Arabidopsis thaliana: one gene and its partners. The protein of the gene in region 1 interacts with the protein of each later gene in a biochemical or structural test. Each region holds a gene or a part of one and is shown in the gene's direction. Other genes may lie near its edges.

What was found. The genes of interacting proteins can lie anywhere in the genome.
Region 2: the proteins of PIR121 (region 1) and GRL form a complex in vitro, tested with the Arabidopsis thaliana proteins (2 studies listed by BioGRID).
Region 3: the proteins of PIR121 (region 1) and RAC3 form a complex in vitro, tested with the Arabidopsis thaliana proteins (one study listed by BioGRID).

The regions. Positions count from the first base shown.
Region 1 is NC_003076.8:6,101,930-6,106,583, reverse strand, and holds the start of PIR121 (transcription activator), read left to right. Parts: upstream 1-1,603; 5' UTR 1,604-1,718; intron 1,719-1,792; 5' UTR 1,793-1,800; coding exon 1,801-1,854; intron 1,855-2,167; coding exon 2,168-2,240; intron 2,241-2,323; coding exon 2,324-2,388; intron 2,389-2,528; coding exon 2,529-2,606; intron 2,607-2,943; coding exon 2,944-3,063; intron 3,064-3,149; coding exon 3,150-3,220; intron 3,221-3,315; coding exon 3,316-3,408; intron 3,409-3,592; coding exon 3,593-3,662; intron 3,663-3,751; coding exon 3,752-3,816; intron 3,817-3,961; coding exon 3,962-4,157; intron 4,158-4,266; coding exon 4,267-4,418; intron 4,419-4,522; coding exon 4,523-4,616; intron 4,617-4,654. Other genes in the region: AT5G18420 (CCR4-NOT transcription complex subunit), read left to right, coding at 1-8, 84-157, 243-384, 595-679, 846-946. UniProt on the Arabidopsis thaliana protein: Involved in regulation of actin and microtubule organization. Part of a WAVE complex that activates the ARP2/3 complex. Interacts with the active form of RHO-family GTPases.
Region 2 is NC_003071.7:14,800,801-14,805,461, reverse strand, and holds the start of GRL (transcription activator), read left to right. Parts: upstream 1-1,611; 5' UTR 1,612-1,702; intron 1,703-1,917; 5' UTR 1,918-1,936; coding exon 1,937-2,338; intron 2,339-2,431; coding exon 2,432-2,506; intron 2,507-2,886; coding exon 2,887-2,967; intron 2,968-3,174; coding exon 3,175-3,255; intron 3,256-3,369; coding exon 3,370-3,452; intron 3,453-3,547; coding exon 3,548-3,632; intron 3,633-3,718; coding exon 3,719-3,844; intron 3,845-3,978; coding exon 3,979-4,086; intron 4,087-4,380; coding exon 4,381-4,655; intron 4,656-4,661. UniProt on the Arabidopsis thaliana protein: Involved in regulation of actin and microtubule organization. Part of a WAVE complex that activates the Arp2/3 complex.
Region 3 is NC_003075.7:16,670,641-16,675,339, forward strand, and holds RAC3 (RAC-like 3), read left to right. Parts: upstream 1-1,551; 5' UTR 1,552-1,603; exon of another isoform or gene 1,604-1,780; intron 1,781-2,143; exon of another isoform or gene 2,144-2,191; 5' UTR 2,192-2,214; intron 2,215-2,278; exon of another isoform or gene 2,279-2,325; 5' UTR 2,326-2,535; coding exon 2,536-2,634; intron 2,635-2,938; coding exon 2,939-3,026; intron 3,027-3,110; coding exon 3,111-3,220; intron 3,221-3,322; coding exon 3,323-3,386; coding exon of another isoform or gene 3,387-3,466; exon of another isoform or gene 3,467-3,484; coding exon 3,485-3,549; intron 3,550-3,630; coding exon 3,631-3,696; intron 3,697-3,795; coding exon 3,796-3,900; 3' UTR 3,901-4,149; downstream 4,150-4,699. Other genes in the region: BGAL11 (beta-galactosidase 11), read right to left, coding at 1-74, 156-299, 391-483, 573-639, 725-837, 936-1,031, 1,125-1,334. UniProt on the Arabidopsis thaliana protein: Inactive GDP-bound Rho GTPases reside in the cytosol, are found in a complex with Rho GDP-dissociation inhibitors (Rho GDIs), and are released from the GDI protein in order to translocate to membranes upon activation.

The DNA.
Region 1 (4,654 bases):
AGCTGCCGGTATGTGATTCATTTTCTGGCAGGTGGTTTTTTTCTTTTTTCTTTTTTTCATGTGATCTAGTTTCTTATTCTCAGCAATTAGTAGAGCACAATCCTCAGATAGCAGTTGAAATTCTCACCAAGTTGAATAACTCCACAGAGATTAATGAGTAAGTCATCACCTTATTGGTTCCACCATTTACTTTCGACCAAAATTATAACTTTTAAAGTGGGAATCTAAGAATGCTTCTTCAGCTATTATGAAGCTCTAGGAAATATGGACATGAGCCTGCACTCAATGGAAGTTGTGAATAGGCTCACAACTGCAGTTGAACTTCCCAAGGACTTCATACGGATGTACATCACTAATTGCATATCGTCTTGTGAGAACGCTAAGGTATTAAAACAAAGCGTCCTTTTGATTTCCCGTTAGGTACTTAAAACAAAGCTTTCTATGAGTATCCATAACGCCATCCTATAATCTTGTGTGAAAAAACTTCTGCTTGTGCTTTGCATTATGTGCTTTGTGTATATGATTCTCGGATTTGTTGATTTCAATGTAGTTGTTTTGTTAACGGTATAGTGATATATTGTTTTCGATCTGTAGCAGCAAGACAAATACATGCAGAATAGGCTTGTACGGCTTGTTTGCGTCTTCTTGCAAAGCTTAATTCGTAACAAGATCATCAACGGTATGCATTCTCTGTTTCTGACTGATTGCTATCAAATTAGGCGTTTTGCTTTGCTAATAACACAGAAAGATCACTAGATACATTCACAGAGGAAGCTTTTATAGTCTATTAGTATGATGTACAATTGTGGGTGATATATGTTTTTTTTGGGTAAAAAATGTAACAGTGAAGGATCTATTCATAGAAGTTCAAGCTTTCTGCATTGAGTTTTCTCGGGTTCGAGAAGCAGCTGGTCTCTTCAGGCTTTTGAAACAATTGGATGAATAATTTACTCTTTCTTCTTCTTCTTCTTCTTCTAATCATCTTCGTCTCCATTTTATTGTATTCCCTATTTTTGTAGCTAAAGAAAGTACTTTATTTTGAATCCAAGACAGTTTTCGCTTTTTCTAGAGTTTCATTCTCAATTCATATGTTTTTACAACAAAAATTTCTGGTTAGACTTAGACGGCATGTCCTTTCCATTAGGCTACTAACACTTAACCGTGAACGGTTTACATGCTCACACCGATAGCACCAACACCTGCTGGTTCTTATCCGGATTGGTTTAAGGCTCCGGTTAAACCTTAAAAGTTGTTACTGATTCTACAAAGTAACTTATTTTATGTTCAGTAGTTGTTCACTGTAAAATTGTATTTATATCTATTTTGTTTTGTTACTGGTATTACTCTTATGTATTTTCCCAAAATAAGAAATGGTTGAGGATAAAGGAATCAGTAAATAATGATTTAGCTGTCATCAAGTTTGCTTCATAGTAAAGACACAAATGTAATGCTTCTTCTCAAAGCTTTAATCGGATTGAACAAATATGTACTAAAGAAAAATTCTGAAAGGTGAAAATACAAACGAGGACCCAAAAAGAAACATTTTTTTTTTGTTACAGAAAAACAAATAGAAAAAGAAAGCTTCCAACTTTGCGAAATATTTGGTTCGGACAGAGTAGTAGCGAATTTATCGATCTCTGTCCGTAAAGAATCAGAAGAAAGGCGAATCAATTGACTTGAAGTAGTAGCAGCTCTCCTCTCCTCTCCATTGTTGTTGGGTAAGAGCCTTAAAGTTGAAAGCTTTATCCTTTAGTCGCCCAATGTTGCTAATTGCTTCGTCTGATCTTTCCAGGTGACTCAATGGCGGTTCCTGTAGAGGAAGCAATCGCAGCTCTTTCCACATTCTCCTTAGAGGTAACTTCGATATTCTAGATTTTGGTAAAATTTAGAAATTGTGGGTCTTTGGATCCTTTTGACTACAAATTTTCTTTCCGGAGTTCATATTTCAAAATTTTCTTCTAGAAAGGATATGAAATTATTGTTTCTATTTCTTGTTAAATCCTTTTCGTGTAAAATTATCACATATATTGTTTAATCACCTGTGGATCTTTGCCTAAGTTAGCAGTAAAATAAGTTTCAACGAAATGTTGAAGATTTAAGTAGCTTCTTGAAAAATTTGAAGTCACTCTAGTACATTTTCTTGAAGCATTTTGAATTTTGGTTATAGGATGAGCAACCAGAAGTCCAAGGACCGGCTGTGATGGTTTCAGCTGAAAGAGCAGCAACCGATAGTCCCATCGGTATGCTTCATTGTTCTCTTGTCACTCTTTTACCATAAAATCCAAATAATCAAGATGTTTTTTTTTTTATTACTATTCTGTAGAATATAGTGACGTCGCTGCATACCGGTTGTCTCTATCAGAAGACACAAAAGCTCTTAACCAGCTGGTATATGGCTATTCTTCTTCATTTGCCTCATCTTAGAAAGACTGATTAAATTACGATTTGATATTTTTACGGTTATGTTGTGTTAATCGTGTTATATTTGAATACTTCAAGTAAGTTTTCAACCAATTGTATATATGCAGAATACACTTATACAAGAAGGAAAAGAGATGGCGTCAATTCTATACACATATAGAAGTTGTGTCAAAGCACTGCCTCAGGTCCTTGTGAAATCTATCACTACACTCCTTGTCTCCATTGCATATCTACCTTTAGACATTTTATCTGATAAAATGTAGCTTTGAGAATTATGCTATGCGTTAGTTCTTCATGGTATTCGAAATCTCGTAGCAACTGTACGAGACTCTTTTTTGAACTACAAAGTATAATGCAGTTATAATGCAAAAATAAAAGCAACAACAAAGTTCTCTGTATAAATAATAGCGAATGATAGAAATTACTGAAAATAATATCAAATACAGTACTTCTTGCTGGGTGTTGTTGTGTATATTTCTTCCATAACACACATAACTTTCTTTATTAATGATATACATGCAGCTTCCCGAATCTATGAAGCATAGTCAAGCGGATTTGTATCTAGAAACATATCAAGTTTTGGACTTAGAAATGAGCCGTTTACGCGAAATTCAAAGATGGCAATCGTCGGCTTCAGCTAAAGTGCGGTGTATATCCTTCCTCGTCCAACTCGTTTTATATAAATTCCTGTATCAGAAATAATGTGCGTATATTCTCTGTCTGTGCAGTTAGCTGCTGACATGCAGCGGTTTTCCAGACCTGAACGGCGGATCAATGGTCCCACAGTCACACATCTTTGGTGGGTTATAACTCTTATTTTGTGTTTTGTATTAGATCCTTGGATGATTAACTTTCCTCGTGTATATAGTTTAACTGTGATTTTACTTAATATAGGTCAATGCTAAAGTTGCTTGACGTCTTGGTTCAGCTGGATCATCTTAAAAATGCTAAAGCTAGCATTCCTAATGATTTCTCTTGGTATAAGAGGTGAAAGATATAATACTTTTATCTTTCCTATCTATATTTTCTGCAAATAGGACACTTGAATGTAGGTAGATCGATGTTTGTTACTAATCCTTTCAGCTACTAAAGCTCTATTTAAGAGTTGAATTAGTTTCCTAGAAGCTTTTTTTTTTAGTTTATGTTCTTAAGATAGTTTCACTCTTTTCAGAACATTCACTCAAGTCAGTGCGCAGTGGCAAGATACAGATACAATGAGAGAAGAGTTAGACGACTTGCAGGTGTTTGCATGGCTTGTTTATGCAATCATTTGATAATGCCTTCCCCTGTGGTTTGTCGTAAATGAAAATGTGAGTTCTTATGTATGCAGATCTTCCTGAGCACAAGATGGGCTATTTTACTCAACCTGCACGTTGAGATGTTCCGTGTAAACAAGTATCCTTTCTTCCAGACATTTATCACCATCGTGTGGCTGTTAAAGACATTATTATGGGTTTGTCTATCTGAGATATGCATGCTGCTCAAGTCCCTTGTGCCATTTGACTATATTGCAAGCTTTTGGATTCCTTAGTAAATTCAGTGTGGAAGATATTCTCCAAGTTCTCATAGTCTTCATCGTGGAGTCTCTGGAGTTGGATTTTGCACTACTTTTTCCTGAGCGGTATATTCTTCTCCGGGTTCTACCTGTTCTTGTTGTCTTAGCAACACCATCTGAGAAAGATACCGAGGCTTTATACAAGAGGGTAAAACTCAACAGATTGATAAACATTTTCAAGGTATTGAGATTCATGTTATACCTGTTTTCGCATTCACAACCAATATACCGCAAAGCCTTGTTTCCAAGTCGCTAATTGTCATATTTGTTGTGTGTTTTTCGGCTATCAGAATGATCCTGTCATTCCTGCGTTTCCAGATCTCCATCTTTCTCCTGCTGCAATTTTGAAAGAATTGTCGGTATACTTTCAAAAGTTTTCATCACAGACTCGCCTTCTGACTCTTCCAGCACCTCATGAGCTCCCTCCACGTGAAGCGCTAGAATATCCTTTAATATTTTCACTGTTACTTGCCTATTTTAACTATTATCTGGATTATTGTTAACCGTACACATGCTTTGAAAATTGCAAGCCTTAACATATTTTACATATCAGAGGCACTATTTGATAGTCAATCACATTGGAGCTCTCCGTGCTGAGCATGACGATTTCACAATCCGATTTGCTTCATCCATGAATCAGGTGCTCAAGCTATCTCTATCCCTGGAGCTCCAATTTTC
Region 2 (4,661 bases), on another chromosome or scaffold:
GACAAGAAAAATGCTTCTCTTCAGATGGACCTTACCTCCGTAGGTCTAGGCACGGCAGCAACTACACTTGTAGACTCTTGAATTAATTTGGAGTTCAGTAAAATAACTGCCCAGTCCTGAGATGAAGAAATTGGAATCCAAGATAATAGCCGAGTACAAAGAAGAAGCTAATGGAAGATTCATGCGAATAAAGAATATAGGTTCGGTCATATTGTAGCAACCGTGTGAAAACCGTTTTTTTGTTATTTTCTGGTTCATAGGGACCTCAAAAGATAATGTGAAAGGAAACAAAATCTGTGATGCAATGATATGTGCACAGAGGGAAAAGATTTTGGAATCATTGTTGCTTATTGTGAAGGCCAAGCTTGTTTAGCCACAGTTGTCCAACAAAGTTACAAGATGTGCCTTGTAATACAATATTCCTGCGTTGTCAACCCTACTTTATTATATGAAGTTGTTTTTGTGTGTCATGGTTTCCACTAATTTACTTATTAATTTGATTGTTTGATTGTTTTCTATTAGTAAAAAAGTAATATCAACATTATGATTAAATTCTCAAATCAAATAATTATGTTGAAAAGATGAAATGCTTGGATAGCACTGAGCTTTGGACACGCAACAAAAAGTGAGGGAGGGGCAAATTCATCATCAGAAACGTCAGAAACATTATTTATTAGTCGAATCATACTAAAGTTTAACACAGTAATTCTAAAATAATTGACAATTATTACACCTAAAAGCTACTCCATATGTAGAGATAATGATAATTATATACTACAAGTTAGTATTTGTCGACGTCAATATTGTTCTCTTGGTTAATTGTTTTTAAATATTAAAAATTACCGGTTAAGGGACTTGTTCTCATTTTGTCAAAGCTTCGAAAACTTACATTTCAACCACCCAACTAGAACGTTTGTTCTTTTTCTAACAGAAATTTTCCTTTTAAATACTAAAAATAGTACTTACTACATAATATACCAAATACTTTTTTCTATTTTAGCTATCCTCATTATTGAAATAGATGTCGTAGATTTGAATTTACCTTCTGTTAATGTACATATGATAAAAGAACATTGGTTTGTTATGCTAAAATCTCAATAGTTGGAGCTAATCCTATAGTTTTGCTAAAAAAAACTTGTAATCCAAATAACTACAATCAAACCAAAACAACACATGATTTGAAATATCATTTTTTCTAGTGAAAAAATGTTGTCTTGCACTGCTCAAATTCAAGTAGACAATTCCGATTCAATATAACTAAAAATCTCATATTTTATTAAAATTTTATAAACAATTTATTTTTTGAAAGGGATAAACACTTTCAGCTGTTCAATTGTTCATAATTTTCTTCTACTTACATTGTTTCGTTTCCTATGGAAATGTTTAGATTTACAGGTAAAAAGTAAAAAATGTGCTTGAGCAAGAAAAGAGTAAAAAAAAATAAAAAAATCTGCATTTTAGTTGAAAACGAAAGAAATTCTACTGACTAATTTTGTCTTAAATGAGAGAGACCCGAATTTAGCAACTCTTTATTTCTCGGCTCACACACTCCGATTAAGCCCGACGCTCTCTCTCCTCTTTGTCGTCGTCATCATCGTCTCCGGAGTAGGTTGCAGAAATTCAGATCTGAACTCTCAGACGAAGCTCCGATCTTACTGAGACATTTTTGCTCGATTTGACTTTCGCCTTTAAAGCTTCTCAGGTAACTTTCAATCTTCACGAGACTCTTGCTTGACTTGGTTTTAGCTCCTTGTTTGGTTGCTGGGAAATTGACGAGGGGATATCTATTCTCACTCGTCACTCGTTGTTGAGTATTACTGGGTTTTTGGAAGATGAATGCAAGAGTAGAGAGCTAAGTAAATTATGTTGGACGAGATTGTGTAACGTGATTTTGAAATACATTTTCCTTTATTGTAGAGATTATTGTACTGAATTAATGGCGAATTCTCGTCAATATTATCCATCTCAAGATGAATCAATGTCCCCGACTTCTGTGAGATCAAGGGAATGGGAAGGTCCTTCCAGATGGACTGAGTACTTGGGACCTGAAATGGCTGCATCAGTGTCTTCTACTAGGAGCTCTAAGCAAATTGATGGACATGTTGGTGGTTCCACAAAGGCTTTGAACATACAATGGGTAGTTCAAATGATTGAGGTTGCTGACGGTCTCATGGCTAAAATGTATAGACTGAATCAAATCTTGGAGTATCCTGATCCTGTTGGCCATGTATTCTCTGAAGCATTTTGGAAAGCGGGTGTCTTCCCTAACCATCCACGGATATGCACTTTGCTCTCTAAAAAGTTCCCTGAGCATTTCAGCAAATTGCAACTTGAACGTGTAAGTCATGAGTTCTTTTTTTATTAGACTTACTGTTTGATTTGTTGATCTGATGGTAAATGAAAAAAGATTTATTCTGCAATACTTATGCAGATTGATAAGTTTTCACTGGATAGCTTGCATGATGGTGCTGAACTTCACTTACAGAGCTTAGAGCCATGGATACAGGTAATAAGAAACTATCTATGTAATATGTTGTTGGGTTTACGTTCTGTTGTTGTGAAACTTGTTGTTCGAGAATGGTGAAGCATCTCGGAAGTCCTACATGCTATATAGTCAATCTTTCTATTAGTTTTCTTTGTGTACCTAGTCAATCTTCAATCTTCAGTCTGCTATATAGTCAATATTCAATCTTCTATTCCATCTCACCATTAGTCAGCTTTATATATCTGGGCATGCATATATGATTTACCTAATACATGGTTTTAACTTTTAAAATGTAAACGAGTAGTTATTTGCTAGCCTTCTTTCCTTAGTTCGTGTGTAGCATTTCAGTAAGGGGTGCCTTCATAGTCCTCTCGTCATGCATTTTTCTTTTCTTGAATCAGCTGCTGCTCGACTTGATGGCATTTCGAGAACAGGCACTGCGGCTTATATTGGACCTAAGCAGCACTGTAATTACCTTGCTGGTGAGTCAAAGTCTCTCATCTGCGGAAAGTATTTACTTGCTCTGGGTTGAAACTTTGAGCTTTCTTTTGAACTCGTACCTTAGGTGGAGGTCATGAAATGTTTTGGTACATTAAGTTATTATTTACTTGTCAAAAATGTCTGTGAGGATGAAGATAAAATTGTTGAGTATTCATGATTAGCTCATAACTTAGTTCAGCTTTTTGCAGCCTCATCAGAACTCACTTATTCTGCATGCATTCATGGATCTCTTTTGTGCATTTGTCCGAGTCAATCTCTTCGCAGAGAAGGTATGCTGAGCTTGTTCCTTTTCTTAGTTCTTTGTTTATTTGGATTGATTACACATGTCATGTGAGACATTACATTATTATCAATATGTAAGAGTGTTTATTTTATCAAAGTAGATTCCTAGGAAAATGTTGTTGCAAGTCTACAACCTTCTGCATGCGCTATCAAGAAATGATCGAGACTGTGACTTTTATCACCGGTATGGATGTTTTTTTCCTTGTAGTATCATTTTTAATTTGTATATAATCAATAGACTCTGATATCATATATTAACACTCCTCGTCTTGCATCCAGCTTGGTGCAATTCATAGACTCTTATGATCCCCCATTGAAAGGCTTACAAGAAGATTTGAATTTTGTCAGCCCAAGGATTGGAGAGGTTAATATTTTATTCAAATCACGGGTATCCTACGAGCTAATATTGCAACTGATACAGCAGTACTAACAACGTTACTATTTTCCTAGGTCCTGGAGGCTGTAGGACCCAGTATTTTTCTATCTGCAGATACGAGGAAGTTGAGAAATGAGGGATTTTTAAGCCCATATCATCCTAGATTCCCAGATATACTTACAAATTCTGCTCATCCCATGGTACGAACGGCTAGATTATTATCAACATAAAAGCTTAGGATTCTCAGAATTAGTAGGATGCTATTGTCTTTCCCTTACAACTCTACTTCGATGTATAGTGCTAATATTAGATAATACACTCTTGGTTCCTACAGAGAGCGCAAGATCTTGCAAATGTTACTTCGTACCGAGAGTGGGTGCTTCTTGGATATCTCGTTTGCCCCGACGAGCTTCTTCGTGTTACTAGCATTGATATCGCCCTGGTATGAATCTGTTTTTCATTTTGTTCTCGATTGTGATCTTGATAAAGAAGTTTTTCCTCCAAGGATTCTATCTTGAAAACTATCTTATCTGGTCAATAATAGGTTCTATAAATTTGTTTCACAAATCAGAAATTTTCTGCCTCTCTCTGCCTTTGTTTGTAAAATGTTAAGTGCTTTCATTTTCAGTGTTTGTTTAACTTAAGATTAGTAATGGAGTTAGGTTTTTGATGCTCAAAACAAATCAAGATTGCGTGTAATTCGTGCTGTCTCTAATACTGTCCTGTTGTATTTCAGGTCGTGCTAAAGGAAAACTTAGTCGTGACGTTATTCCGGGATGAGGTGAGTTTATATCAAATGGTCTGCGAAAAAGAGTTTGGTATTGGAATTAGTTTTGCATCAGCTGACTCTATTAATCTAACTATGCAGTACATTCTGTTGCACGAAGACTACCAGTTGTATGTTTTACCCCGAGTGTTAGAATCAAAGAAGATGGCTAAGTCTGGACGGACTAAACAAAAGGAAGCTGATCTAGAATATAGTGTAGCAAAACAAGTTGAGAAAATGATCAGGTAACT
Region 3 (4,699 bases), on another chromosome or scaffold:
CATAAAGATGGTTTGTTTTCTCTGTTTGGACCGGGGAAAGTATCACCGCAATGTCTTCCATTACAAGCATTGATCTGTTTCCACAGTGTTTTCAAATATTTTAAAACTTTCTTCCTCATTCGGATAAAACACAATCATGTAAAAATGAACTTTACCATAGGATCAGGAGCGTCGTTCTGCTTGCACATAACCCATGGGATCCCGAGTTTCATTGAGTCCACCAAATTAGATGCCCATTTAATGTAGTTTAACCCGTCTTGTTTATATGCACGTTGAACCGCGCTATATTCGTTTTCTATCTGCAATTCATATTCATTCCAAAACTCATCATTTTATAACATTTTTCAAATCATATATAAATATATAGGTTTCTCTTTTCTTTGTTGTCACCTGTCCTAATATAATGGGGCCTCCTTGTGACGCAAACAATCTTTCCTCCTTCATTTTGTCGAGTATCATCCGTACATACCTTTCTGTATGCTCCTGCAATATTTTTATGGTCATATCTTGTAATATATCTAATTGTAACAAAACACACATTGACATATATATAGTAATTCTATGTATAATACCTTGAATTGTTTATTGTCTGTACGGAAGAAAATTCCAGGAACTTCTCTAAGCCAATAAGGAAGTCCTCTGATCATCACAAAGAGATCATATAAAATGTTAAAATGAAGATCTTGAGAACGCCGAAAAAGAAGAAGAAGCAATGCATTATTACCCATGAGTCCATTCAGCTTGGATGAACGGTCCAAGCCTTAAGGTCACATACATTCCATTCTTTTGAATCAACTTTATGAACTTCACCAAATCAGCTCGTCCCGAAAAGTTGAACTGATGAACGCAACACAAAATACATTATGAATCCTAAAGATTCATGCATGCGTGTTTTATATGTTCTATATATAGATCAGTTTTTGGTTATGAATTACCTTTCCTTGTTGAGGCTCATGTACATTCCAGAAAACGTATGTCTGAATCGTGTTCAAACCGCCTTGCTTGGCTCTCTTGATGATACTTGGCCACATCTAAACCAAACCCAAATGACACAATAATCTCAATATACAAAAAAAAAAAAAAAACGTTTTAGAAAAACAGAGATTATGTGATTCAATAAATACTTCCGGAGTGCTTCTCGGGTAATGAATAGAGCCAGAATAAAGAAGCTCTCTTTTGCCATCGATGATCAAAGAGGTTCCATCATATGTCACCTCCTTATTACTCTTCTTCTTCTTCTTGGCGTCCTTCTTGGCCGCGAAGGAGGAAGAAGACGAGAGGAGAACGACAAGAACAGCTGTTAAAAGCCATCGATCAAGAGAATGTTTTCTCATTGAACTCTCTTCTTTTTCTTTTTTGAATTAATTTTTGGTGTCGTACGTAGAACAAGAAGCTAAGTTCTCTTGGAACCTCGTCCTTGTCGGAGGAATAAAAAACAAGGAGAGCTCAAATAACAAGCTTTCAGAAAAGAGGATGATATAAGAGAATGTTTCGCACTCAGGTTTTCAGGTTTCCGGAGAAATTTACGCGTCTGAAATAGAATCCACCGTTGTAACTTTGAAACTCTCTTCATTTTTCCTTTTCGATTTTTTTTTTTTAATTTGTTTTTGCTATTTTTAAATGTTGGTTTCACCCTATTCTTCGCCTATTATGTTGGACATAACATAACAAATTAGTGAAATTACCATTCGTTTTTTTTGGGTCCCCATAACAGATTCTTTAACGGTCAATAAGTGTTTTTAAAATTAACGGTCAATAACTAGCTAGACAGATTCAAAAGGTAAGCCTTTATACCGTGATTGGTTATAAAAATATTAAATATTGACCTTAAGTTCACGTTTTTTTTAGTGTCTCAACATTTATTTCTTAGAGAAGTTGTATGTACATTTTTAATGTTTACTTCAACATACCGGGACAAAAATATTATCATTTAACATGTAACAGAAGAATATGTATCCAAAGGAGGCTGATCAATAAAAATTAACACTCCAATCATATTGCATTGTAAAACCAGCTATATTTTTTATTGATATTTAAACCATAGTTGTATAATCCTAATGACACATCGGAAAAATCCTCTAAACCAGTCAAAATTTAGCTAAATTTTTTATTGATATTTAAAGATCAATCTAAATATGTATAGATTTAGGCATTTAGTATATGGGCTGCATAGTATTAGATGAAAACGAAGTTTAAAAAAAAAAAAAAAAAAAAGTACATAGAAATTATTATTATAATTTTCATCCCATAAATTTTTGTAGGGTCTTATGTTGGGAAACGCACTATCTAAGAAGAAATGCTATTTTATAAAATTTTAGTAAAAAGAAGAAAAAAAAGGAAGAAGAAGACCAAGAAATTGAGGTGCATGTGAGGATGAGTAGTAAAAATTAGGAAGACTCTAGTCTGGGAGAGACTTTCAGCAGCTATTTCTTTGTCTTCTTTCTCTTTAAAGAACCTCACTCTCTCTCTCTTTAGTCAAAAATCCCCAATTCGTGAACAAATTAGGGTTTTTGAAGTTTGAAGAAGGAGAGAAAGATGAGTGCTTCAAGGTTTATCAAGTGTGTCACTGTCGGCGACGGTGCTGTTGGAAAGACTTGTCTTCTCATCTCCTACACTAGCAACACTTTCCCCACGGTTAGCTTTAAAGTTCTCTTCTTTTACTTTGATTTCGTGAAATTTTAGCTTGGTGAAGTTGGTTTTGTTGTTGAAGCTTATGAGTTGGATTTAGTCACAAGTATTTGTTAGGTTTTCTTAAAGTCTTCTTCTTTCTGCTACCTTAGTGAATGTACTGATGTGATCTTTAGGATTTGAGAGACTCAGAGATTCATGTACCGTAGCAATGTTGTTGATCTGTTTAATGATCTTAGAAAGAGTGTTAGGTAACTTTCTGTAAGGAGATTTTGTAGCTGATGTTTTAGTGGAATTTTCTATGTGACAGGATTATGTGCCAACTGTGTTCGATAATTTCAGTGCCAATGTGATTGTTGATGGCAACACTATCAACTTGGGATTGTGGGATACTGCAGGCAAGTTGTTACCTTGGATTTTTTTGTCTTTTGAATTTCCTCCTCTTCCAGAGAGTCATTTGTGTTTTTGACTTGGTGAAACAGGGCAAGAGGACTACAATAGACTAAGACCTTTGAGCTATCGCGGTGCAGATGTCTTCTTACTTGCATTCTCACTTGTCAGCAAAGCTAGCTATGAAAATGTTTCTAAAAAGGTTTGATCTGTGGTCTTCTCCTGAAACTTCTTTCCTGTTTTATTCAGTTTACATTCAGTGATTCTGATAGAATACATTTGGTATCTTGCTTTTGATTCTTAGTGGGTTCCTGAACTGAGACATTATGCTCCTGGTGTTCCCATCATCCTCGTTGGAACAAAGCTTGGTTGGTTTTTTCTTAGCTCAACTCTTAATCGCCTGATTATCGGGGGTTTTCTGTTTTGGGGAACTCTTCTGATATTTTGATGACTGAGTCTCGTACAGATCTTCGAGATGATAAGCAATTCTTTGCCGAGCACCCTGGTGCTGTGCCTATCTCTACCGCTCAGGTACCTTTCTCATTATCTTTCTAAACTGAATCCTAGGTGTTAATATTCTGCATGTTTCATATTTTGATGGTATCAAAACAGGGTGAAGAACTAAAGAAGCTGATTGGGGCGCCTGCTTATATCGAATGCAGTGCAAAAACTCAACAGGTATTAACCTGAGAGTCAATATCTTTATCTAATCTTTACCTGTCTAAAACCGCCAATTGAATCTGCTGATGATTCCTATATCTGTTATCTGTTCAACAGAATGTGAAAGCAGTGTTTGATGCGGCTATCAAGGTCGTTCTCCAGCCACCAAAAAACAAGAAGAAGAAGAAGAGAAAATCTCAGAAAGGTTGTTCTATACTCTGATTCAACAAGAAGAAAGGAATCAACAGGAGAATTAGAGCTATAAGTATTTGTTTTCTCCTTTTTCATAACTTGTTTACCCAAGGAATCAAAAATCTGTTGTTTGTAGTCTGAAAATGACAAAAGTTGAAGAACTAGTAACAAGTATTTGTATTCTTGTTTGCATTTTGATCTGTAAATATACCACGAATCCTTGATTTCTCTGTTTCCTAGATTCACACCAATTGTCTTAAGGATTATGTTCCAAACCTAAAGACAATGAGAGCTTACACGCGCGAACCAATGAGAATGAGAGAGCACTTGTCTTTCTTGGACAATAGTATCTAAACCAGCTTATTTGAAACCTTCTGAATGAGCCAGAGTGTCTTCCATACATATCAATTCCACATAGACCTAACCTGATCTTTAGACTATAATCTTCAATGATTTCAGAACCTCAAAACTTTTGATTTTACATTTTTAATCAAATTTATTTGATATTCATTTTGCTTATTGACTAGACGTTTTCCCCTTGGAGATAATAGAATGATTGATTTTAACTCTCACCGGAAAAGACAAAAAAAAGGAAAAATAAATCATTGATTAAATAAAATTTATGGTGAATAAGCTTGGCTTCTCTTTACCAAACATATATGTTTGTTGATCAATCTCTTTCTTTGCGTTATCTGCCCCTTGATTTAGACCCACGTATTATTCGATTCCTAAACTAATTGAAATGATTAGATATGTGTCATGACGTTTAGTGAACTAATATTCACCTAATATGTCTTTCAATCACTTAAGAATTTGCATTATTCTTGTG